2 linked regions of the Drosophila melanogaster genome follow. The protein of the gene in region 1 purifies or fractionates together with the protein of each later gene. This does not show direct contact. Each region holds a gene or a part of one and is shown in the gene's direction. Other genes may lie near its edges.

The links.
Region 2: the proteins of MAGE (region 1) and Nse1 purify together in Drosophila melanogaster (affinity purification with western blotting, with the first as the bait; one study listed by BioGRID). This does not show direct contact.

Annotation. Positions count from the first base shown.
Region 1 is NT_033777.3:7,153,329-7,166,237, reverse strand, and holds MAGE (MAGE), read left to right. Parts: upstream 1-11,057; 5' UTR 11,058-11,173; coding exon 11,174-11,872; 3' UTR 11,873-12,000; downstream 12,001-12,909. Other genes in the region: sas (stranded at second), read right to left, coding at 1,378-1,717; Sas-4 (spindle assembly abnormal 4), read right to left, coding at 12,074-12,909.
Region 2 is NT_033779.5:6,673,013-6,685,896, reverse strand, and holds Nse1 (Non-SMC element 1), read left to right. Parts: upstream 1-8,271; 5' UTR 8,272-8,348; coding exon 8,349-9,056; 3' UTR 9,057-9,248; downstream 9,249-12,884. Other genes in the region: CG11327 (uncharacterized protein), read left to right, coding at 1-830; Nhe3 (Na[+]/H[+] hydrogen exchanger 3), read left to right, coding at 1,949-2,171, 3,027-3,151, 3,214-3,402, 3,467-3,756, 3,813-3,954, 4,125-4,433, 4,507-4,618, 4,679-4,832 and 6 more; cort (cortex), read left to right, coding at 9,347-9,466, 9,526-9,657, 9,723-10,137, 10,196-10,567, 10,626-10,775, 10,835-11,097; CG34310 (uncharacterized protein), read right to left, coding at 11,372-11,591, 11,669-11,838; Spn27A (serpin 27A), read left to right, coding at 12,722-12,884; cup, read right to left, coding at 11,583-11,596. UniProt on the Drosophila melanogaster protein: Component of the SMC5-SMC6 complex, a complex involved in repair of DNA double-strand breaks by homologous recombination. The complex may promote sister chromatid homologous recombination by recruiting the SMC1-SMC3 cohesin complex to double-strand breaks.

The DNA of each region.
Region 1 (12,909 bases):
CTTGAAATACCCATTTTAAAATGTAATCAGGTGCGGTTTCTTCTCCAAGTTTGTAGGTGTTTCATTTATCACATCTGTCAATGACTAATTGCTATTTATCTCTCTTAGCTAATTTCCTGGGCACATACTTATATAATTAGCCCCCGCGAAAAGACATTCCGTGTTTCTGTACAAAGTTAACACCCAAAATTTAACAAAGTTAACTCCAAGATTATGGTACGGACTACGTAGGTTAAGGGCATGAGTCATGACAGTTGGCTGCTTTGCATTTAAATTGAGTAATTTGTGAAGGCTTACCTTACCACCATCCCAATGTTTGCTGTTAAATCTCATTAACTTCCCGTGGCATTTAGACCGGCTAAAAAAGGCCAGTCCCTTTTAAACAATGCATTCCCACTTGCCATGGCAACAACCTATGCTCAATCGATCTAGACCTGTGTGTGGCCTGCTAGACCTCGTTTTATCGAGTCATCAATGAATCTAGATGGAATAGTATCAAAACAATGAAAAACCAATTGAAGTTTTTACGACGGAGTGCTTGCCTCGTGAAGAGTTTGGTGTGCAACTGACATTAAGCCCAAACAACCTTCTAGATAATTATAAATCTGTTACAGCCAAGAACTCGGCAATGGAATTGCCCGATTAATCTATTTTGCAAAAGGTACGTGTGTGAAAGTTAATCATTCCATCTCAGGTGATCTGGTTAAACGAATTTCTCCAGTTATCCTAATAACCTAAATGTGAATGTGTTCATTCAACAGAATTACAAAAAAAAAAAAAAAAATCTAATCTGATTTATTATTTTTTATTTTATATTAAGTATCAATTGTATCGAAATAGAAGTATAATTCAATTTATCTTGAGTATCTTGGGTGTAGTACGAGTAGAATATATTAAGATTTAATTAAGTTCATTCACTTGTTCTAGCACGAATAATAATTTCTCGTATAATTGGTTTCCGAGATTGAGCTTGAGGGCCGGAAATTTTAATATTTTCCCTTTAATATGCCGCGTAATTAACTAAGTAATTCAACAGGAAACCGCTTATGTATATCTTCAAATATTCTTCCATCCATTAATAGTCAAACAATTTCTCTTGTTCGCTCCATTTAACCGAATCGGAAAATAATTATGGAGAAATGCCGTACAAATCGAAACGAAATGGGTAAAAAAAAGGGCGGACCAGAAGTCACGCACCGGCACGGCGTTAATTGGTGGCTCAGAGAACGAGATTTGATTACGGCGCAGAGAGCACAGCGCGGCTAGGCGGGATTAAAGTGTCTGGCCGGAGATCGGGATGAGATGCCCCAGCTATGCGAGCGTCGTCGCGTAGATGCCGTCTATCTATAATTTTCATGGCTTTCGGCTTGGACTCACCAGTTTCGGTCGCATTGGATTTGTTGGCCGCCTCAGTTGTTGTCGTCGTGGAAGTCGTTGAACCATCCGCCGCCTCGGTGGTTATGCTGCTGATGCTGCTGCTTTGTTCTGCGGCAGTTGTGGCTGGAGTGGTGGTGGCTGCAACGGCGTCTGGGGCATCTGTTGTGGTATCCAAAGGTGGCATCGTTGTGGCCGCTGCGTCTTCGCCTGCGGGCGCAGACGCCGCACGCTCAATTTGAATGCCAAGCAAAAGTAATCCGCAGAGAGTGGCCAGGCACATTCTACTCCACTTGATCGTGGATTGGCCGCCGGAGGCTTTTCTTCTTCTACACGTTTGCATTTTGGTTTATGTTTGTGCTCCGTCTTTTTGGCTTTTCCTCTTTGATTTTTCTCACACGTTTGCACTTGTTATTGTTAATTTATAGTAATCTGCTATAAATATGGAATTAAATAAATTACATGCACTTTTAAACGTTTCGAAGGGTCTCGATAACTCATTACCTACTTTTGTTCACTAGTTATTATTTAGTTTTCTCTTTTGGGGTGCGGGATTTTCTTATGCGGTTATTTTAGTTCACACGACATCTGTGGCAGCGGTTTCTGTTATTTGTCATTGACTCGCTTTGGTAACCCCAAATGCTGTCATTTCCGTTGAAAGTCGGTTGAATAACGATCTCTCAAGTGTCAACTCAAGTCTATATTTTGCCAGCCGATTTGTTGAGTGATTTGTTAGGTCGCCCTACGCGGAAATTGGAAAGTTGTTAGCTTGAAAATAGGGGTGGCTTACTCTTGACTCAATCAATCAAAAATAATATGTGAGTTAATTAAGCTACGAAATAAAAGTATTAGCTAATTTTTCCAAATACGCCGCATATCTAAAGCATTTCCTATGTCACACATTTATGTAATGACCAATTTAAGTGTGAAAGCGTAAACATCTTCGATGCCACTCACGCAAGTTCGTTTCCCAAGTCTTTTGTTTTATAAAGTTTCGCATAGTTTTGAATGTGTCCGAATTTTTGAAAACCTATGTAGATTTACGATACGTAAACCCTATTTAGCATATTTCATTTAGATTTACAACTTCTGTACCTAAGCCTAGAGCAGCTCATAAATATCTTTCATTTTTTTAAGACTACGCCGCCAGCACAATGTTTACTTCTCACCATTCAAATCAGAAACTAGGCAAATAAACCAGCTTGCCAAAAACAAAGGCTGCCAATTGGGCTCTAAAAAAAGATATACTGTTTATATGCAAGGCAGTCGATGCTCATGCAACTCGCTACAATGCAACGCCAGCAACAAAAAACCCTAGACCCAAATTGCGATAGCAAAATATTTCAACCGGTTCCAACGGCAGCAGCAGAAACTGCAACTGAAAACGGCTGCAGACCGCAGAATTTGCTGCACGCCTTTTTGGCCATATTGGTACGAAGGCAATTAGACAGCGTGCGGTTCTATTTATTCCATATCTGCTGGCAATTGTTAATATTTCTTTTGGCTAACATCTAGTGATGTCATTGTAAAAGTTGATAGCTATTTGCACTGACATTTCGCATTTCACATTTCACTCTCACTCCTTTTTTGTAGAAATGGCAAATGGCAGAAAGCAAACAGCGAACAAGCGATTCGGAGCTGGAGGGAGAAAACGTGTTTTCGGTATTTCCAATGGAATGTTTTCGGTCGTGGTTCTCTTTTCTTCTGCTGGGCCGTTTATTTCACTACCAGATCTTGTGTTTGTTTAATAAGAAAGCAAAGATTTGCATAAATCACAACCGCACACACACGCAGGCACGCTTAAAACGAAGATTAGCACCAACCCGGCGAGAAATAGGTATAGGTATTGGTATATATCTCCTCTTATCTGGCCACGTTTGTGGGCAGCGCGGTTTATATGTATATATAAATCGTTCGCAAAGTAATGCGATCGCACTCGGCCAACCGCTCCGTCTCAAGCACGACCACCAACTGATCTCTCCGGCGGCACGGATCTTGGCTGGTAGCGTTGCCAACTCACCACGGTCTGCATCTGCAGGCTGCCAACATGTAACTGGTTTGCTGTTGCTCTCCGGCCAACTCTTAGTTGGCTCTCATCTGGCTGGCTCCTTCTCGCGCGTCAGCTGAGCGCAACAGGTGAGACCGTGCACGTAATACATAATACCCATTACCATTACCCCGTGGTTGAATGCTCGCTCTCACCCACACTCAGGTGTGTCTAGGCTGTTGCTGTCTGCCAGTGTGGGTGTAGTGAGCGAAAGGCCCTCTCTAGAAGTCGTTGGATTCGAAACAAGACGACCATGATGCATACACAAGACTCAAAGACGGAGTTTTTTTTTTTCAATTTGGCAAGGCAACTGCAATAGTCGATTCCTTGACAAGTGAACTCAGCGCGATCTATTTGGACTGTCCAATTGGATGGCGAAAAACTCAATCCCATTGAAAAACCCAGGCCAAGCCGAGTTGGCATTCATCGTTCCGATTACGCCTACCTTCGGTTTCTTTCTTCCTCGACTTCTTTGTCTGACTTTTTGAAAGAGCACAAGCGTAGATTCGTATTAGCGGCCCTGCATCTCCATACTCGTAGATCCAGAGTGTTCATGAGTCAGGGATGCTTGGGGTCACAGCGGCACTAAGAGATTAATCCCATTTACAGCTTTCGTAAATATGATTAAATAAAGAAATTCTATGCTACTTCGAAAGAGTGAAATGATAAGTGATAAGGTGATACCTTATCACCCCTATTGTAGGGTACATTGAACACTCGTGAGTGATAAAAATGATTAGTATAAGGATAGCATTAGTACTATATTATATTATATTATGTGAAATAATTACTATAATCCCTAAATGTTTGGTGTTCTAATAATATTTAACCAATTACTTTGGGATAAGTAAAACTAGAGATAAGATAAGTACGCCGACGCTATTAAAACCCAAAAACTAGTCGAGGTCAAATCGGTTTCTATAGAGGAAAGTACGATATATGTATATATAACTACATAAAAGTTATTTTTACTGCGATACCCGAAATATTAAATAAAACTAGAAAGATTCATGAAATTCCAATATCTATTAGCAAACCCAAATAACCGCCATTCCGAAGGCCTTATCTGCGGAGCTGCTCCCAAATTCATAAATCCACCGATCACTGACTGATCCACCGCCATCAAATGCCATCGATGCAAATATCAATTCTCCACTTGGGATGCGAGACGCGCCCAGAAACCGTCATCACACATCAATGGCAGCAAGTTGGCCAACCGTCATTAAAAAGGAAATGTGTGTCTGAAGAACTCAAATCTAATCAAATCAAATCATATCCAACTCAACTCTCAACTCTCTGCTCGCAGACGTCAAAAAGTATCAAATGTGCACACAGTTTCTATGTTATTGGGGCTGCTCTTGTGGTTGCATACATTAACGTGCAAACATCAGAGAATAATGCAGAAATGCGCTTTTTTTGGTGTTGCACAAACACGGCCAAAGTTGCATTGTCTCCCTTTGTTTATACATACATATATTTTGTCTGGGGCTTATCGCACCGTCATTGAGAAGCCGCTAATGCTAATGCTAATAAAATACAGGCGAACATAAAAAGATAATAATAATAACAATGCAACTTCAGTTTATGCTCACAGTTTTTGAATGGAGCATTTCTCAATGTATGCAAAGGAAAAGAACGCTGCAAGAAAACGGAAACTACAAGTAGTGTCTTTTGCATAAAATGCACAACATATGAATACTAAAGCATTAGGAATTAAGAATTAAAAATTAAGAAATATAAATTAAGCAAAAGAAAAGAAGACTAGAAGTGTTGTAAAAAATTCCAAAGTTGCATACTACCAATGGGTCTTCCACTGATAGCCAATTATCTAGCTACCAAATGGCCACAGACCTAAGCACCCACTTCCTTGCATCGTTGGAATGGGACCTGGTAAACCTGATACTTGTGTGATTTGATTTACCCAATCGCATGCAATGCGATAGCGCAGACGAAGAGCAGCGAAAGTTGTTCAATAGTAATTGGCTTAATTATGAGTACAATCTACATAGAAACTCGAAATTAAATTCGAAATTAGCGAAAAGCCATATCCACATTATATAAAAACGCGAAAAATGAATTTTTCGGATGCCATTGCGAGGGGCCAAGTTTTCACAGTTCGTTTTTTCCACCTGCTGTTCGTTGGTAATGTCTTCATTCGTGGTGTTACACATCAAAAAAAGAAAAAATCTCATGATAAAAGTCGAAGAGAGTTGGCCAAACTAAGGCCATGAAACCAGACGAAATCTCTTTCCAGTTAATCTCGAATTTGGGACTGTTTCAAAAGGCAGCGACACCGAGTAAAATGAAGTCAAGTCAGTGCGCATTAAATTGGCTCATTTTTCCTTATTTGTTCACAAAAGGCATTTAACCAATTTGCTCTGCACCGAAACTTGCTTGATATTACGTCAATATATTTGGCTCAATTTTCGGGTTTCTTTGTTTGATCTACATTTTAGTGTTTATTATTGGATGATTAAAGTCAAATGAATTAAGGCAGGCAGAGTGATAAGTAATATACCCACATTTATTTATTTGAAAGCTGTGCGGATTGGTATCATTGCACAGTGGACCAATGCATTGGTCTGTCGTTAATTGCCGTGATGGGATTTATTGTACCGATAGTTCGCATTTTCTCATCCATTCACAAGTGCTCTTATTAAATAAGGGATTACAACAATTAAGCCGAAATCTACAAAGTAAATTTTGGGTGTAGAAAACACTACAGCAGCCTAATTTAGTCAATGCAAGTACAATTAATGTGGCCAACGAACGTGGCTTAAAACCAGCAAAAAGTGTAGCAGCTGCCATTGTGTTGCTATTGCTGTTGCCGTTTATTGTCAAAGCGGTTAAGCGACATGCCACCAAAAATGATTGACAATCACTTTACAAACTGTTTTCATTGCAGCCGGGAACAGCAAGAAAAACAACGCGCACACTGAGAGAAACGAGGCCCACACTCGGACTGACAGCACTTCCCCATTTTGGCTGCCAGCAACCAGTTGCATATGAAAGTAAAAGTAAAGCATGCACATGCAGCGTATAATAAATATATATACACAAACTGCATTTAAATGCATTGCAGACGGGCTGAGAGACCGCTGGAGAGATACATATGCGACTATATGTTTAATATGTTTCATACAAACAAAACAAACAAAAGGCGAGCCGGTGCGAAGACAGCCACACCGGTTGTGAATGCAGACACCGCTCAGACAACTATACCCATATTATGTGCATATAAGTTCATATATACGATACATATATATATATACATATATGGCCGCTAATGAAATGCGTTCAAAGAGGCCGAAACGATACCCAGATGCTGATAAACAAGCTGAAAACCAAGCCAGGCTCAAGCTCAAAAATAACCGAAACTTCATTTCGAAGACATGACATCATATATGTATACGTATGCTGCATAATCTTCTTGCTCGGGATTTAAATTGTTTAAACAGAATTTCTTTGAATATTCGACTCGTGACTCAAAAGGTTTTGCTCAGGGAATTTATTTCTTTGGCCTTCAGAGATTTTATGGACACGTTCGTGTTTCGTTTAGAAAACATAAATTGAAATTAGGGATAAAATAAGTAGCTTAAGAGTCGCATATTTATTTCATAATAAAAATCAACATTATTTTTTCGTGAACTTATAGCATTCCATGGAAGTTTTGATTTAGGTTTGACTTGTCTATTTGTATAGTTATAAAGTTGGGATGCACAAAGGATACTTTTAAATATATAAAATGTAACTATATGAAATTAATTATATAGAAATAAATTTTTACTTTCTCACTGCACTTTCAACTTTATTTTTAATAGAGAACTTGAAATGCTTAAAAGCACCAAAAAATAAATAAACATAAACCAAGTCGCTTGGCTTGTCAATCATGGTCCATTTGACCATGACCATGACTTCAGAGTGCAGATCTTCTCACGATCGTTTGAGTTGGAAAATCGTAGTTTTTCGGCGTTGCAAAAGCCATTAAATTGATGCATGTATAACATGACACCAAGCTCGATAATAATTATTACAAATTTCTGCCTTTCGGCGAATGGCTTGTGAAAGTTTTTCGCACAGGAAGCTGGCTGCGATTTATGCAACAATTTATTGGACATTATTGTTTCTGGCACTCTCTCATGCAAATTGTGCGGAGCTCAAGGCCTTTGCGACAAAGTCGTCGACTGCATACTAAATTCGAAAATGTGATTCACATTTCGGTTCATGTGATACACTTGCAAAAAGCTGCCGATCGACCTTCGCAAGGCGAAAACGTCACCGAAAACGTGTGTTCGAGAAAAACCTAAGACTTGACATTTTATTAGTTTCAAGACGGCACCGGATACTAAGTAAACTATTTAGCATTTGGCCGGCGTAGAGAATTACCCCAATCACTTTGGGTACCTAAAGTGACTCATTAGATGGGCATTTTTCAAGCGTCAGCCGAAACACCATTAGTTTTGACCAACTTGTACGGCCCCAGACGCTGAACTTATAGCTTAATTGTTTACAAAACGGCATGGCCACTTCAATGTAATTAATAATTATTAAATGTTTATATAAACGTTATGGGGATGTGGGTTTCAGTTGTAGCTTATGTATATGCTGGCCCACTTCAAAGTCATCGAATCACGGGCTATAAAATTAATAAGCACTTTAGAATGGCCGGCCAAACGAGAGATTGTGAATCTCGAGAGCAATAAAAACACACGAAGGCGAAACTCAAACGCAGCGAAAAGATCAAGTTGAAGACCACAGAAAATGCAAAGACACAAAATACAATAAACAATAAAAAAAATACAACGGCCTTGAAAAATATTTAGCAGTGAATATCTTATTTAAATTATATTAAATTTTAGTAATTTCAATAAACGAATTTCTATTTCACACAAGTGGAATCTTAGAATTGTTTAACTTGCACGACATCCACCGCCATAGAGCAATAAAATCCCATATTTTCCCACTACGAATATGCGTAAAACTTAGATCCGCTTTGACTTCAGCCATTTTTTATTCGACTGAAAACCGTGTACTAGACAACCCGCAAGTCGATGTCGTCACACGGTGCGTATACGCGATTAGGCATGCACGAGTGAACTTGGCCCCCAAGTGAAGTCAATTCACTGATCATTTGTTCGACTTTAATTGCGACGATTGTTGCAGCCATTTGGCAAACTATCTGATAAGCGTTTAATTTGATTATCAGTGGCCGGCGTCTAGTTTGCATCGAAATTTATTAAGTGTAAAAGGTCAAATAGCAGCTTCGTTTTGATCCATGGCCTGAGTTTAGCAATTTGACCTCTTAATTAAGCCGAACAAGTTTGTTGTCCAAGTCTTTTATTTGAGAACTAAACTCTACTCGCTCACAGCTACGTTCAGCTTAGCGCGCTTTTGTAATTGTGAGCCCCATTGACATTTAGCGGATAGCTGAGTCGTTCTGAGAGAGGAGCAAATCATAATCTAATCGAAGTGCCGGTCCCGGGCCAAAGCTGATCAGCCAGATCGACCACGAGCGGCAGCTGCTGGACAAGAATGCCGAACCGCTCCGCTGAAGGCAGTCCACTTTTAAGAACGGCACGCAACCAGACTGAGGCAACAACAGCCGGCTATTGTTTCTATATTCTCGATTCCATTCCATTGCGACCGAAACGGGGTTATCTGCTCACTGAAAGAGGTTGTAAGAACAAACTTATATACTTGTATAGGGAAATAAAACATTCGATTTGCTGAAGAATAAATTAAAATATTTTTAGCCAGAGAAGCTGGGAACATGAAAAGAAGGAATCTTTAAAAAACTACAAGATAAGAGATTTATGTTTGCGAAACTATGCCATTTATCAGCGTTTTTCTTATCAAAACGAAAGACTAATTTGAATGTTTGCAACACATTTTTTTAAAATACAACTTTAAGAATATCAAAAGATGTATTTATATTAGCGTAATTTCCATTTAATGGTGCCTTCCATTTTTCTGAATTTTAAATGTAATATTATTTATTCATTTTTCACTTTTTATTTTCATTCATATTATTTTCGCAATAAAAAACTTTTAGCTCCTTAAGATATTCGAAATGATAAATCTCAAAGAGCAAGCCACTTAAAAACAATTAATCCCGATCATATAGAGCATTAAACTCCACACATTCCTCATTCCAATATTGGCTTTCTTTTTTGTGCACACATTTTTTGTCTGCTGCCTCTTGTGATTCTGTTATTAATTTATTAATAGTTTTTGCCACCGCGGTGAGCTGCGAAACCCGTTGTCGTTACTCTATTGGCTGGTCATGGGATTTTGTTTATCATGAAAATTCTAAATGGCATGCTCATGTCATTTGCTAATTTTTAATGGCCTTTAAAAGCCAGGCTGCATAGCAAGTTTGCCGCTCACGTCGCTCAGCAAAGACCTTGACTTTCTTTTTAGTAAATGAGACATTTCTCCAACACCGTCTGGCTACAATTAGCCGGCCATAAAAAAACTTTAGGGCTGGAGTTGACAAACTCCAACGTTACAATGCGCATTTTGAAAGCAAAACTGTTTGCTTGTGTGTAGAAAGTCTAACGCTTCGCGTTGACAGTGCGTTTTGTTGACTCACTCAGCCGCCGTTTTGCGAGATTTACAATCTTGAGTAATTTCACTTGCTGGGATGCAAATTTCGGTGCTATTACAGTCACTGGTCAAGCAGAATCAATTGCAGAACGCGGCGGATATCCATTTCAGGCGGCCACAAAGGCTGTCTTTAACAATCTGAACTCCGATATTCTGCTTTTGTTCAAGCCGGAACAATGGCGAATCAATTAAAGCTTGCCGCCTGGCCAGGCAACTTTTGTCTGCCTTCCGCCTGTACATTTATCACTTATGGATCGCGCACTTTGCGCAGACGCAGGTAACTAGTTTTCACCGCAGAGATACAGCCACCGCCATCGCCACCTAAAACACACATTTCAAGGCAATAAAATATGTTTGGCCATGTAATTCTGCAGCGTCTGGAAGTGCACTTCGGCGCGTGTGTCTGCTGCGCGAAATGCATTTCCATTTCCATTTCGTTTTGTTTGACTCGGTCTCTGTTTATTTTGAGTCTCCGTGGGGAATGTTGACCGTGCATGTCATTCGCGTTTAGTTTTGAAAGTTGTTTGCTTCCTGCTGCTGCACGTCGCGTCGTTTTGGCCATTTTAATTAAAAACACATCACCTCCTGAGGCTGCTATGGCAATTTTTATGCAAAGTGCGTTACCCACTGCTTAGCTGCTCGATAAATGCTCGAATGATATTTATTTAGCAAACGTTTCGCTGCAGCGCAAATTTCATACTGATTGTTAAATGTAACAGAGGAAAAAGGCGGCAGCAAAAGGAAATCAATCAATACAAACCCACAAGAGTAGGTACTTCAGCGGCTCTTGGCCCAGTTTGTGCGTTCAAACGAGACCAATGAGTGGCCATTTGCACTTGAAAGTGCATATAATAGGCAACCAAGTGAAAAAGGATGCGAGAGAAAAGGATTGGTAAAGACCATAATAAGGGTTCGAAGATTTTATTGTCAGAGTAATGATTTTGAATTAATATAATTTGCGCGCCCATTTGGTATTTTAATACTGAAAACAGGTCTCGTTTTTTAACTCTGATCTGGCAACGCCAGGCTTGTACACTTTCAAAAGTGCGAAAAAAAACATATGTTCGCTGCATTCTTGTTGAGTTGCATTTTAAATAATCAAATAAATTTGATAAATTGGGAGCTTGTTAATCAAATTAACTCGAAATGGCTAGCACTTCTCGCGCAGCTAGGAGCCAGAATGCCATCCCCTCGCAGGAAGCGCAACAACCCGTCGATGTGGTCGACGCCAAGGTTCGCGCCATTCTAAACTACATCCTTGATCATACCGCCCAGAAGATTCCCATAAAGGACAAGGATTTGATAGCGGTGGCTGGGGACAAGAGCGAACTGAAGAAACGCCTGCCGCTGGTCACTAATCTGCTGGCCGAAACATTCGGTATAATACTAACCCCACTGGACGCGACCACCAAGACGTTCATCTGCACTGCGGAGGAGCCGGTGGCCTCCATTCACGAGCTGACGCCGGCTCAACGGCCGCAGTTCACGCTGCTGTATATTATTCTCATGTACATCTTCCTGCGCGGCAACCGCATCGAGGACTCGAAACTGTACGTTATGCTGGAGATGCTCAACATCTATCCAGACGAAGAACATGGCTACTTCGGCCCCAATCTGCGCAAACAGATCGAGGAGACGTTTGTGAAGCAACAATATCTGAAGCGGGAACGCTCACAGCTAAGTGCTTACGATGATTCCAAGACTTTCTTCCTTTGGGGACCACGTGCCAAGGCGGAGTTCACATTCGAGCAAATGGTGCAATTCGCCTCCAAGCTGCTCAATCAGCATCCCAAGGTCTTCGGCCATCACCTCTCCATGGCCCAAGAAGGAGTAAACGCGGAGTAGAATACCATTCTATGAATAATTTACTACATTTGATCTAACAAATTGAAAACCAAACAATATATATAATAATCTAAAATAGAGCCAATTTCCCATTTATCAGCAAGAAAAGAATATTACGATGATCTTTTAAAAATAGCACGTCTTTTCTATTTATCTAAAACTTAAGTTAATTTACTTAACAACGGAAGCAGAGACCCGACTCTAATACTTGGCATAGTCTGTGTCCATTATGAGCTTGCCATCCTTGTCCTTCAAACGAACGCGGCCGTTGGAGTAGCGCGTCTCTTGGCTGCCATCCGGATACACTAGCTTCACAGTGCCGTCCGGATACTCCCTTCGCTTGTTTAGTTTGGTGTGAATCTCCTTTTGGCCATTGGGCAGATTGAGAATCTTGTCACCATTCCGGAGCTGCACTAGATGGGTTCCATCCGCATAACGCCACTCCTCCAGTTTCTCCGTATCGCTGGGATCCACAATCTTAATGCTGTTGTTGGGAAAGTGAATCTCAACAGTGCCATCCTTGCGGCGATGTTCCGTCTGCCCGTTGGGAAACTCGAGTATTTCCAAGCCATCTAGGTAGGAGGTGTGCCAAGTGTTGGTCTCAGCGTAGTAATACTTCACTGTGCCTTCCCTGATGTTAGTTTCCTTGATATCCTTGTTGAAATAGAGCATGCGCAAGTTCATGCCATCGGCGCTTATCTTTTTTAGATTGCCGTTTGGGTACCAAATGTCCTTGCTCCCATCCGCATTCGTAATCTCCCGCTTAAAGTCACTGCTGGAGTTGGCAGCCGGTGGGGGGGTAGCAGCTTTCGGAGCGGTCACGGGCGGCTGAACTTCCTCCGATTCCACAGAACTACTAGAGGCGTAGCTCTCATCCAGAGCGTATGGTGTTTTCTTATTCCTGCTCAGTGAGCGACTCCGACTTCTCACTTGGGCACTGCCGCTACTCTGACGACGGTTTTGCGCCTCTCGCTGCTTGGCAGGCTTACCAGCAGTGCCGTCCAGAGATTGGGTGCGCCGACCGTTCTCATCGAGGA
Region 2 (12,884 bases), on another chromosome or scaffold:
ATGGTGCCGAGTCTTCCGGACTAGATATGGAACAGCTGACAGGAAACGATATTCAGCAGGAAACACTTCCTGAAACACAACCCGAAGAACTTATACCAGGAAATGTACAGATGGTGGAAAAAGAAATTGCACCGAAAGGGGAATTTCCAGAAATAAAGGAAACTGCCGTGGAAATAGAATCTTTAAAGGAATTCGAAATTGTCCAGCATTTGGGCGAAGAGCCAATAGATGAACACACAGAGATCGTCCAAGAGACCCCGCAAGATCCTACAGACGTAGAATCCGAGAAATCTGTACCCGAATCGGATATGGAGGAACTCGAAACGTTAATTAATGAAAGTAGCGAGTCCGAAGAGGACAGGCTTGTTCGTGAACAATTCGAGAAATACCCTGAAACATTGGAGCCCATGTTTCATCCAACGGCGGATGAGATTGTGTGCATTGACTCGGTCCCGGAACTGGCCGACCATCCCTCACTAGATGGGTCGGTGCAAAACGGTCGCGAGATGGTTACTTTGGATGAACTATTTGATCCGGAGTACAATGTGCACCTAATGCGCCAACTTTTGCAGGCCAGAATAGAAGAGAATAGCGAAGTTGAAACAGCTCCAGACTTGATAGAAAGTGAGCAAGCGGAAGAAAGGGAGACGCTGACGGGCCCGGAGGCGGAAATCGATATGGAGGAGGAAACGGATCCGGACCTAAAACAAACTGGCAAGCCCTTGAGTTTCTTGAGGCGTCTAGTCAACCACAGAATCCTTAAGCTTAGCTATCCCATATTGTTCTGCAGCTTGGCTTTCAGTTTGGTCTATATAATTCGCAAGGAGTAGAAGTTCACTATTCTAGAAATGCAAATTGGATAATGCGAACTTGCGAGAGCATACGTTTCACTACGGTATATCTTAGGAAACACTTCAAAATCGCCCGACGCATTGGCATAGTTGGGTTGCTTTAAATATCTATTTTCCAAATAAATATCCACAATATCACGGCCGCACTGTTTGTAATTTGTATAATTTGTATGTATATTTGAATTAAAGCGCCAATTACTTAACATTCTTTTTGAAACGAGCGCTAGGTGGCGCCTTTGTCAGGTCATACTCTTGTTGGCTAGGGCAGGGTAACGGTTATCGATAACCGGAAACTGCACCTGCCCGTTTACTGTTTTCCCGGAATAATTACCGATGGAGGAACGGCGGAATTCTAAACATGGGGAATTTTTTATTTATTTTTTTTTTTTTGAATGTATAGAGGAATCGTGAAAAATAGCAATGATACGAACTTACAGATCTAACTATGTCGGTGGGACACGGAGAGACTGGTCGGCGGGACTAGTACTAGACGACGGGAAAGAAAATTAATAAATGAAAAGGCTAATTTGACGCAATTCCCGGAATAATAGTTTTTACTTGGAAAATAGTTTGGGATTATTGCAAGTTTTAGTTTTACATAACTATTATATTGAATACAAATATCTTTACTGAACCGCTCCTGTTCAAAGGCAATATTTTTTCGCGTGCTAGCGTGCGGTCACACTGCAGTCGCATACGGTTGTTTCCATATGAACGAACAAACTGTTTTTTTAGCGGAGTGCGCTGCTGTGAAATTTTGAAAGCTCTTTTTGGACCCTTTAATTTTATGTAACGGCTGTGCGGCACATTCAATATCCAAGCGAAAGGAGGTCCACACACTCCCCTGGCGCCGCCTGAGCGTGGTCGTCCTGCTCCGCGCTTCTAGCACCATCACCTCCACCACCACCCCCCCAACCCGTGAAACATAACGCGAAAATCGATTTCGGCTGCAGGCGCAGGAAGAAACTGAAGAAAGTATGTCCCACGGCGATGTGGACCCCGAGGTAGAGATGACATCGCCCCACCGTATTCATGGGGACGCAGGAAGTCACCCAAGGTCGCAGACATTCTGGAAGCTACAGTGCTGGCGGAGCAGCATGCTGCTCATAGTCGGATTTGCATTGTGCGTCCTCGCGCCTGGATGCAGCGCCACGGACACTGACATCGCTCTGGACGCCAAGGCCACGCTCAATCACCGCATCCAGAGCCTGGACCTTCTAGTCTTCGTGTTCCTGCTGGCGCTCACAGTGCTCACAATTTGGCTTTTCAAACACCATCGCGTCTCCTGGCTCCACGAGACGGGATTGGCCGTCATCTACGGTACGTTGGTAACGCGGGCAGCTTTCCCTTTTGGCCATGTTTCCCTTAGCTCGAAAGACTTGATTATCGGTCACCTGCCACATTCATTGCTACCTCTTTGTTGTCACCAATTTCGAATTACGCCTTTGTCCACGCCAACCGTGACATTACGTGCGCACATATGGGAGGCAGTAAAAGCCACCCCGGGGTAGAAGTAACATCAATATCCGTGAAAGAACCTGCACGCAACGACAGCAGAGCTAATGCATTGCGGCAAAGATATTGTATACGAGACCTTGACTTGCTTAGTCAGTCAATATCATTGGGGTTTTCCGACCGAATGTATTTTCACTGCTCGTTCATGATCGCGGCAATCTGCCGAGTACTTTGTTATTCTAACAATTTCGTTTATGTGCAGCAATAAAAGAGCAAACAAGATTTCGTTCGACTAATTGAAGCTAATGAAACAATTCAATAAAACTGGTTGGCCTGGGCGTCGACAAAGCCCAGCTCTGGTGTAAACTGGAAAAGATTATTTAGCATTCGTCCGGCAGGGCCAGTGAAAGCATTTTGTTATGCGCACCACGATTAATCATCCCCACAAATTTGTTTATCGGCGTGAACATAAAACACTGATTCCGTCTGCGAATTATGAACCTGTTGAGTGGTTGCTTAGTTGATAAGGCTTGATATGGCTTGACTAAGCATTTTTCTAAGCGGCTATTAGTCACACCCTTGCTTTGCGATAGGTCAGTCCAGAAAACAGTCATACTAGCTTTATTTCATTTAAGACCCGGTAAAATTACATTACAATTCAACTTATTTTCGATCCCAACTGCAGCAATAGCCAAAACTAATGTGTTTACCCCATTTCAGGCTTGATTGTGGGTGCAATTATACGATATGCCGGCACCTCCGCCACCCTGGTCCACATGCAGGTGGAGCCTCAGGGAGTTCCAACGTACAGCGATAAATTGCCGCCTGATACTCTTTGGTTTAGGGTAAATCATTAATGGCCAGAACGAATATATGTAAATATATTACAATTTGGTTTTAATTTTAGTACCCCGTTAATCAAACAAATGGCACAAAGCCGCCAGAGGGAATCAAGACGTATGCCTACGTGTTTCGAGGACAGGTACACGATGTGGATGAGAACGAAATCGATCTTAAGGCAACGTTCGATCCGGAGGTATTTTTCAATATTATCCTGCCCCCAATTATCTTTTATGCGGGCTATAGCTTGAAAAAGGTAAGTTCATTGAGCCGCCAATTGTATTGAAAAAAATTTACCGAGATATATTTGGCTTTTGCAGAAATACTTCTTTCGCAACTTGGGTGCCATACTTACGTTTGCCATTGTGGGCACGACTTTGTCGGCCTTCCTAATCGGAGGCTTCATGTACGGCTGTGTGAAACTGATGCCAAAGTACTTGAGTAGCAGTTTCACATTCCTGGACTCCTTATACTTTGGAGCTCTGATATCGCCCACAGATCCGCTCACCATTCTAGCCATATTCAACGATCTTAGGGTCGACGTAAACCTATATGCGCTAGTCTTGGGCGAATCTGTGCTCAACGATGCCGTGGCCATAGTCCTTAGTGGGTAAGTTTGCTACTTTTTTTTTCGTTGGGAATCAGTAAGACATCATTTCTTTATAGAGCCATTCAAAATTATGGTGAACACTATTCCAATACCGGGGAATTCGAAACTACAGCTTTTCTACGCTCGTTGAGCGATTTCTTCTCCATCTTCTTACTATCCCTGATGATTGGCGCGGCCATGGGATGCTTGACAGCATTGATATCCTTTTCAAAGATTAATGATAAATTATTTTATTTAAGGGCAGTATACATGTGAATGGTAAAATTTGAGTTAATTTTTGTTACCTCAAAGTGGCATTGAAGATGTATATCTATTCCGCATTAATTAGAAAACACCTATGCTAATGACTTCCTTAACTCCCACCGCACATGACCAAATTTACTCGGGTTCGAGACTTTCCTTTGCTAGAATCCGCGCTCTTCGTGCTCATGAGCTACAGCACCTTCCTGCTGGCTGAGGCTACGGAACTTACTGGTGTGGTGGCCGTGCTCTTCTGCGGCATCTGCCAGGCTCACTACACGTACAACAACTTGTCGGAGGACTCGCGCCAAAGGACAAAACAGATATTCGAGCTCCTGAACTTTCTAGCCGAGAATTTTATCTTTTCCTACATTGGCGTATCGATGTTCACCTTTCCCAAGCATCATTTTGACGCCGGTTTCATTATAACAGCTTTTGTAAGTTATTTTCAGCATAGAAATACTTAAAAAGGCGTTCCCAAACAGAAAGTTATTTTTCTTTTTTTCACAGATTTGCGCTGCCATTGGAAGGGCGGTGAATGTGTATCCCTTGTCCTGGCTGCTGAACATAAAGCGAAAGCCGAAAATTTCCACAAACTTTCAGCATATGTTGTTCTTTGCTGGCAAGTTTTTATATATAATGTGCCATGTATTTTCTTTAACGCATATATATTATATTACAGGACTTCGTGGCGCCATGTCCTTTGCCTTGGCCATCCGAAATACAGTGTCGGACGAACGACAGACGATGCTGACTGCCACATCGCTGATTGTCATCTTTACGGTTGTAATTCAGGGTGGGGCTGCAAATTTCCTGCTTAATTGGTTGAAAATACCGTGAGTGCATGTGACGTACATTTAAATGGTTTTGCTTCATTGTCACAAACTCTGTCTCGCTTGCAGCGTTGGCGTGGACGATGAGACTGAACAACTCAATAACTATCAAGTGCACAGTGTAAGTACAAAATATCACGTATATATACGTGCTTAGACCGAATTTTGCCGAAAGATTAGTATAGGTTGTTAATTAAGGGATAAGAAAAGGTATTTTCCCAAAAGCATGGTGTCTGCAAACACATTGCTCAATATCAAATTTCTCTTTTCCATTCTTTTCAAAGAATAATTTTTAACTCACGATTTTGTTTATTTATACATTTCTGCGCACCTTAATACATAAAACCATTTGCTAAAAAAGGTTTACAATTCAATGGACAATTCACATCCACAGACGGTAGGTTTTGCCAATGATCATTCAATGCATTTCCGTGGTTTTAAATAATTTTCTTACTTTCCATTTTTAATTTGATTGGAAGCCTGTGAAAAGTAGAGCTAATATAATTTAATAGAACTCTGTGTTAGTCTGATGGTTATTTGCAGGATGTGGAGGGCGGTGGCGTTAATCGCAACAAGATGCGCTTGTCCGGTGGAACAGATACGAACTTGGACACGCCCGTCGATGGTACGAATGGCAGTTTGGGCGGAGCAAGCGGCGGTCGCCGGCGCAACAGCCACGAGAAGGCCATTCTTGCTAGGATCTGGGGAAACTTTGATACCAAGTGAGTGCCAAAAAGCAATCGGTATTTGGATTTCTCTCAAGGCTGCTGCTTTCTACTCAAAGGTACATGAAGCCCTTACTGACGCACTCGCGACCCACTTTGCTGGAGACGCTGCCCGTTTGCTGCAATCCCATTGCCAGACTGCTCACCACCACACAGCAACTAACGCAGGTGAGTTGTGCAGTTCAGCAAGAGGACGACAGAATCCTGATCGACTCGGACTCATTTCAGGATGGAAGCGAGTTCAGACGCGTGGACTCGGACTCGGACATTTGCATAGACAATGATACCGGGAACGGTCTCAGTCAGGATGGGTCCGGAGCGGCACCAGGCGTGGGGCGTCGGAACTCCCTGAGTCGCGTAAGTATTAAGTACACCGCCGATAATCACCATCTACTTGCTAGCTACCGAAATATTGAATAACCGAATGAGCGAAGCACCCCAGACACCAAAGACTAATCTAAGCGTAGCAAGCTGGCCACTAACAAAGAAACGAAAAACCTCAAAAAAAAACTAAACTAAACTAAAATCCAAATGAATCTACACCACAGAGACTTTGGCAAAGTAGACGTATTATTGTATGAATTGGCCGTGAAAATGTTTTTTTGTTTAGCGATCTTTTGCTTTTGTATAATTTTAATGTTAAATTTTGTGGTATAAGCGGAAGTGATGGATAAGTTACACCCTTCAGTATGGTTGACTAATTGTTTAAGTTTGTGCGACGGCAAACGATTTCCAGTATACTATAACACCTATGTAATATTGTTTTGACTGTTAACTACTACTAAATGCATGCTTACCAAATATACTTATGTAACCAAAATGTAACAACTCTCTCGGCGATGATCTAATTTATTTATTGATTTATGCGGCATCTTTCTTTCTTTCTGTCTTTCCTTCGACCAATCGATCAAACAATCAATCAATCATCTAACAAACTCATGCGGACTCTATCAATTTAACTTTGGTTGCTCTAACAACAATACCAACAACTCCAACAACTAATTACAAACTGCATTCATCCTAAAAAAAAAAAAAAAACAATAATCCATGTCAACCAACGGTCATTGGTAATTCCTAAAGTCTGTTCACTTGAACGAAGCCAATCACCTTGCAAACGAACTCAGCCTGGTTGCTAACAATTTCATGTAATCCAAAGAGTGGACCCTATCTATTTTTGTATTTGATTTATTTTTGTTATTTATAATATTTTGTTCGATTCTGTCTACTTTTCCTTGGTAAACCCATTGTAACGAAGCACAGACGGAGACCCAGACATGATTAACTTAGCCACGAGCCAGTGAAATTGAAATCTGATTAACCAAAGCTTCTTAGAGCACAGCAGTCAGGAATGTTTGTTTATATTGTTCACTTTTAATTTCTGTATTTTTCCTCATAATCTTATTTCTTAGATTCTAACACGCGACTAACCATGTAAGTACAAATTAAATTGCAGTTGATTTCCTCATTTTCCTAACGCCTATTGTACATAAAAGCGCATCTCAAGTCGAAAATTCACCATTACTTCATATTAATTTTCAAAGTCCCAGTGTTTTCAATTTTTTGTTAATGATTTTGTTTGCTTTTAGGTTGGAGGCGATCATCGAAATGCTTACATATAAGTTCAATAAGTTCTTAGTTTTCTTTTGTTATTTATTGAATTGGTCTCAACTGAAATCGAAAATGTGAAAACTGTACAAATTAGAATATTACTTTTCAGTTTATCCTTGTTTATGGAAATGTGATTCGGAACTCTAGTAATAAACACAAATCTGAAAGTTGTTGTGCAACTATTTAAGATCAGTAAGGGCACAGAAGCTATAAAAATGATTTCTATCATCGAGCTAACGTACACTAGTACCATACCTTATAACACGATAAATTACATGCATATATAGCCTCTTTGATTCTATTATTTTTAGAACTTGCCTCTGCAATTTACCTAGTTTTTCCTAAATACATAAATATATATATATATACACAAGCCAAATTGAATGGCCTAGCAAAAGTTTAATCGCATACTTATGGACATATTTCCTTCTTCTTATCTATTCGACATCGAAAAATGTGCTAACATGTATATTGTAATCGCCCGAAAACCACAAACCATATTATATTCAGATGGAGATTCTGGAGCATGTCCAAAGTCCGGTGTCGACGAGAATCCGGCTCTTAGGATTTTACGGGAAAAAGTTATAAGGCACAGGCGCAGGCAAACATATACTATTTCATTTTTGATGTATTTTACACAACATAAACTTATAGCTTTTTCGTTCTAAGCCAGTTAGTGTAAATATATCGTTTCGAAAACGGACTAATTGTATTCGGTTTAGTTTTTAAGTTTCAAAGCTGATTCACTTGCTGATCTATAACATTTTCCGATATTACCTAGGACCCTCCTATTTCTTACTATATATACGCTGTATTTAAAACAAAGCGAAGCTCTCTGAAAATATTAATTGTTGTGCTGTTAATTTTTAAGTCAAAACCAAAATAAATAAATAAAAAATTAATAATTGCTAAATTTTTTAATGGAAACAAAGCAGAAAGAAAGGAATTATAGATGGGCATTTCTTTTTAGGGGCACCGAAAGTATGATAAATTTAAACTTCATTAAGCCAAAAAATAGTGCGAGTGATTTTAAAATCGGAGATCTGAAAAAACATCGATTGATTTTTAAAAATAGTGTGACCGAAGTTGACCGCCCGTCAGCATAGCTGGGCACACTGCAACGGCGCGCTTCGGAATCGAATTGTGTATATTTGGATTTGTTTTGAAACATATTCAGTCATTGGCAATGGAGTTGGTGAAACGCGGGTTCCTGCGTGCGTGCAAGAACCACAGCTACCTCAGCTTCGAGCTGATCGATGATATCCTGGCCCCGCTATGTGCCAACCACAAGACTACAAAGCCCGGCAGCAAGGAGGCGATTAGGGCACTGGTGGCGGAGATTAATGACACCATCAGCGACTTGGGCCAGTTGCTGGTCTTCATCAAGTATCCGGTCAAGGCCGAGGAGTACCTGGTTTACGCCAAGACGGACGCTACGCCGGACAGCGTGGCCAACACCGGGCTCACTGCCGAGGAGTGTCAGTACTTTTCGAAACTGCTGGACAAGATCGCCTCCGAGGAGGACTGCCACATCGCCTGGAATGACGCCTACAATGATATCGTCCTACAGGCCAGCTCGAAGCCGTTGAAGAAGAGCCGCATGCAGGAGCTGCTCCAGAAGTGGATCCAAATGGGCTACTTCATGGAGGTGACCGACAGAATCTACCTAGGTCCACGTAGCCTCGTCGAGCTCAGTTTCTATTTGAGCTCGAACCACGCCGATAACATAAAAAACTGCACGCTGTGCAAGTGCCTGGTGTTGTGGGACATTCGCTGCGGGTCCTGCAACATCCAGTACCACCGCGGGTGCATCCAAACCTACTTGCAGAGACGCGATATTTGCCCCTCCTGCGGCAACCTATGGACAACTCCAATAAGACGCTCCATTGGTTAATCATTATGTCCGCGACATGTACTATAGATTTTGATACTAGAATAACAGTAGTCCGCTTTATTAACTAAATGATTTCAAGGTAGAAAATAAATAATTTAAAGCAACATCTTAACTTGAATTTTAAAACATCTTCATGTAAAGCATCGAGAAGTATAAACTCCACACTTTAAATGGCAAACATTAAAGAAGACCAAATGCACTCCTATCGAGTGTTCACTGTACTTGTAACTGTAAGTTTTTTTTGATCCGTTGCCAATTTAATATGGCGCTAGCAAAACAGAAATGTTTCAATGTTCGTCGAGATGAGTGTGTGTGACAGTCCCAATAAAAATTCCAAGCTGGACAAAAAGTCTCTGACGCCCTTCAAAAAGGTGCGGCGGAAAAACTGGAAACAGGAGGCGGCCTACAAGGTAAGATGATGGGCCTCAAAACAATTTGACCACCTAAACGTAGTTTTCTTTTCGCGCAGAGTGATACGAGCAAGGGGCAGGAGGTGTCCTATGTCGGCGAAAGATTCATACCCAACCGATTTGAGCGGGAGAACATCGAGTTCAACCTGAAGTACATTGGCAAGCGGAAGGAGCGAGATATCCTCGAAACGGTGTGTGCAGTACTTCTGGCTATATATACTTTCCATTATTAATTGAAAATGACTTTTACAATCAGGGTGTCACTTTGACCGCCAGCTACTGGCGACAGAGCGGCTTCATATCGAACATCAACCGAACCTTTGGCATCGGAGAGCGCCGCCTGTTTCAGTTTAGCAGCCAGCAGGGCACAAGATCCAGGGTGGTCGATAACGACTCCGCCGATTCGGACTGGCCATGTAATCCACGGGCGCGACCATATGCCATTCAGAATGCCACCCATGAGATGCCTGGCATATGCAGTCCCGTCGACTACAACATGATGGACTGGTCGTCCGGCGGCATGGTGGCCATGTCCTCCGGACAGGATGTCATGCTGTGGCGCAATCTGGACGAGAGCACCATGGTCTTCAGCGTCGAGTCGCCCACTTCCCTCAAGTACTCGCCGGATGGCAAGCACCTGGCAATCGGCTGCATGGATAGAAACTATCCAGGTATAACAGACCCTAAGCAATAACTTTGTAAAGCCCTAACCCTCCTCTTTCGTACAAGTTCTGGACCTCTGGGAGGTGAGGTCGCCTACGGAGTTCTTGGTCTCCTACCGCAAGCTGTTCTTCAAGTCCATGGGCTACATAAGTTGCATTGAGTGGTCCCACGACGGCAAAGAGGTCATCTGCGGCACTCAGTGCGGCGTCATCATCGTGCTGGCCATGCCCACGCTAAACACCCTGATGCAGTTGCGCGAGCATCGACACACGGTGAAGAAAATGAAGTTTGCTCCCACCCATAAGTATTTCGCATCCAGTGATACGGATGGCAAGATTTTCATCTTCGATGCGGTGCTAAAGGTTCGCCTGCTCAAGTTGGACGGCAGGTCCATAGTCTTTGACTGGCATCCGTGGACTGGAGAGGATTTAGCCGTTGGTAAGATAGTGGCAGATTAATTATTAGAGTATCTGCAACATGAATATTATCTTAACAGCGGAGCGAAGCCCTGCGTCGATCTTCATATTCAACATCCCGCGCCGACAATTTGTGGCTTCGTACAGGCGCAGGGATGACAGAATCGTTATAAAGACACTAACATACAGCAAAATCACGGGCGAGTTGCTGGTCAACGTTATTCGGCGTGGTGAGAACTGCACTGGATCCTTAATGCTTGCTAAAAATAATGTATTCTAATATCTACAGATGATGCGGACCTTGCAGTGTGCGAAATTCTGGTCTTGGCCTCCTTAAACCGCGTGGTTGACTTGATGTCCCATCAGGATCGCGGCACCCTCTTCCTGATGTGGAATCCGGATGGAACGAAAATTGCCACCGGCGGACTGGACGACACCTTTTCGCTGTGGAACTTCTTTCCCACCTATAAGCGCGAGGCGATATTGAGAAAGCAAGAGCAAAAGGCCAAGGACAAGTGCAGCTCCCTGAGCCTGTACAAAGGCATACGGTGAACAGAGCACAGTGATTTTTAATTGTTTATGTTTCTAGTCTTTTATTCAAACCATTTGTGCTTTTCATTATTTATTCAATTCATATTACTTTCATAAAAAATCCATTCTGTTTAACTCTAAAATGAACACAAGAAGATGGGCCTCTCCACCCAAAGTGAAGGTAAGAAAGTAAAAGTCCATTCATTGTTCACCATGTTACAGCGTTGAAATTTGGTAACTAATCACTAGGCTATAAGTATGTAAAGATGTCTATGACGGCACTGGCAGCCTTGGCTCAATATTCGCTCCGTTTGGGTCTTGACTCGCCAATCTGGGAGTGAACCTCCTGCTGGAAGAGGTACTCCGCACTGGCCTCGGCTTCCAGGCGTCGTTTCTCGAGAAGATAGGGTTTGATGACAAGGCGATGGGTGGTGTAGAATATAACAGTCGATCCAATACCGATGGCCATCAGACCAACCGTCGTTGTGGCGAATCTTTTGAAGCCGTTAATGAAACTCATCTGTGGGCGAGAACGGAATTCAATTAATATATGACTTTAGCCAGCAGATTAGGGTTTAGTGTGCGGGCTAACTTTGTGGTTCCACTAGTTTCAGTTACTGCTGGCGTTTCTGCCTCGGTTTTCTTCTCGTTTTTGTACTTCAAAATCAGCGGTTGCCAAATGTAAATACCGCCTAGCAGCCCAATGGCCGTGACCACCATCAATTGCGGAACAGTGACACCACGCGGACGACGAATTTGCATGGCACGTGCGGTTACTTTGGCTATTTATATTTATTTCTCATTAAATGCACAAGTTTCTTTCGCCGGCTGCTGTTACATCAACGCACCATGAGAATTTATTTCAGATCAGCTGTTTTGTTTAGCCGACACTTACCAACACTGAGTTCTATAATAGTTGTCAGCGTGGCCAGACTATCCCCGACACAACTTAAGCTTATTTGAAATTCAAATTTCTATTAATAGCTATTCATAAACTGGCTTGAGTATTTGCAGCGGGCGTGAAAGAAACTGTGACGTAGTTTAAGAATAATAACATTTGCAAACTTTCCTCTTTGATGACTATGCAATAATTCACAAATAGCTGAAGTGGGGAAAGCCTAATAAAGGCGGATATTGTTCGCAACTAATTTGTACAAAATAACAAAATAACATTCATAATGATGAATGATCCTTAAATATTTGTATAGGTTTTTTGGTTAATCCTGTCAATACAGGCATGGAAATTCTCTGAGTGCACTGATGCACTGTATAGTCTAGTCGTTTCCCTTCACTTCCCTCATCACTTAACCACACTCATCACTTTGCGATAATGACGTACGTATGCTTTGGGAGTCCCAACAAAAAAAACACACATGCGCTGCCCCGTCGACGCGGCAGCACAGCAGCAGAGGACGGCGTCAAGAGCGGCTTGAAGCTGGAGCTCGATTTTAAAATGGCCAGCCCGCTCGGCGCACCAGTCACTCTCAGTTGGAACGGCGCGTGAAACGGTTATCGCTCGCTCCACCGGCGCTCTCTCGCCGCTCGCCCCACCAAAGCCCGCATTTAACAGTTGTTTTGCTGCGAATAAGAGGCTGAAAGCAAAGACCCGAGGAAGATCGAGACGCAGAAGCTTAGGGAAGCACAGATGACAAAGATGGGCGGAAATTTGGCAGTGATGCTGCTGTCGCTGTTTTTGAGTGCGTTAGCCACGGGCAACGGCAACTCCATACCGACGACCACGACGCCCCAGGGCGTATTCGAAACCCGTACGGACAAGCTGCCCGGTGGCGCTGCCAGCGTGCCCAGTG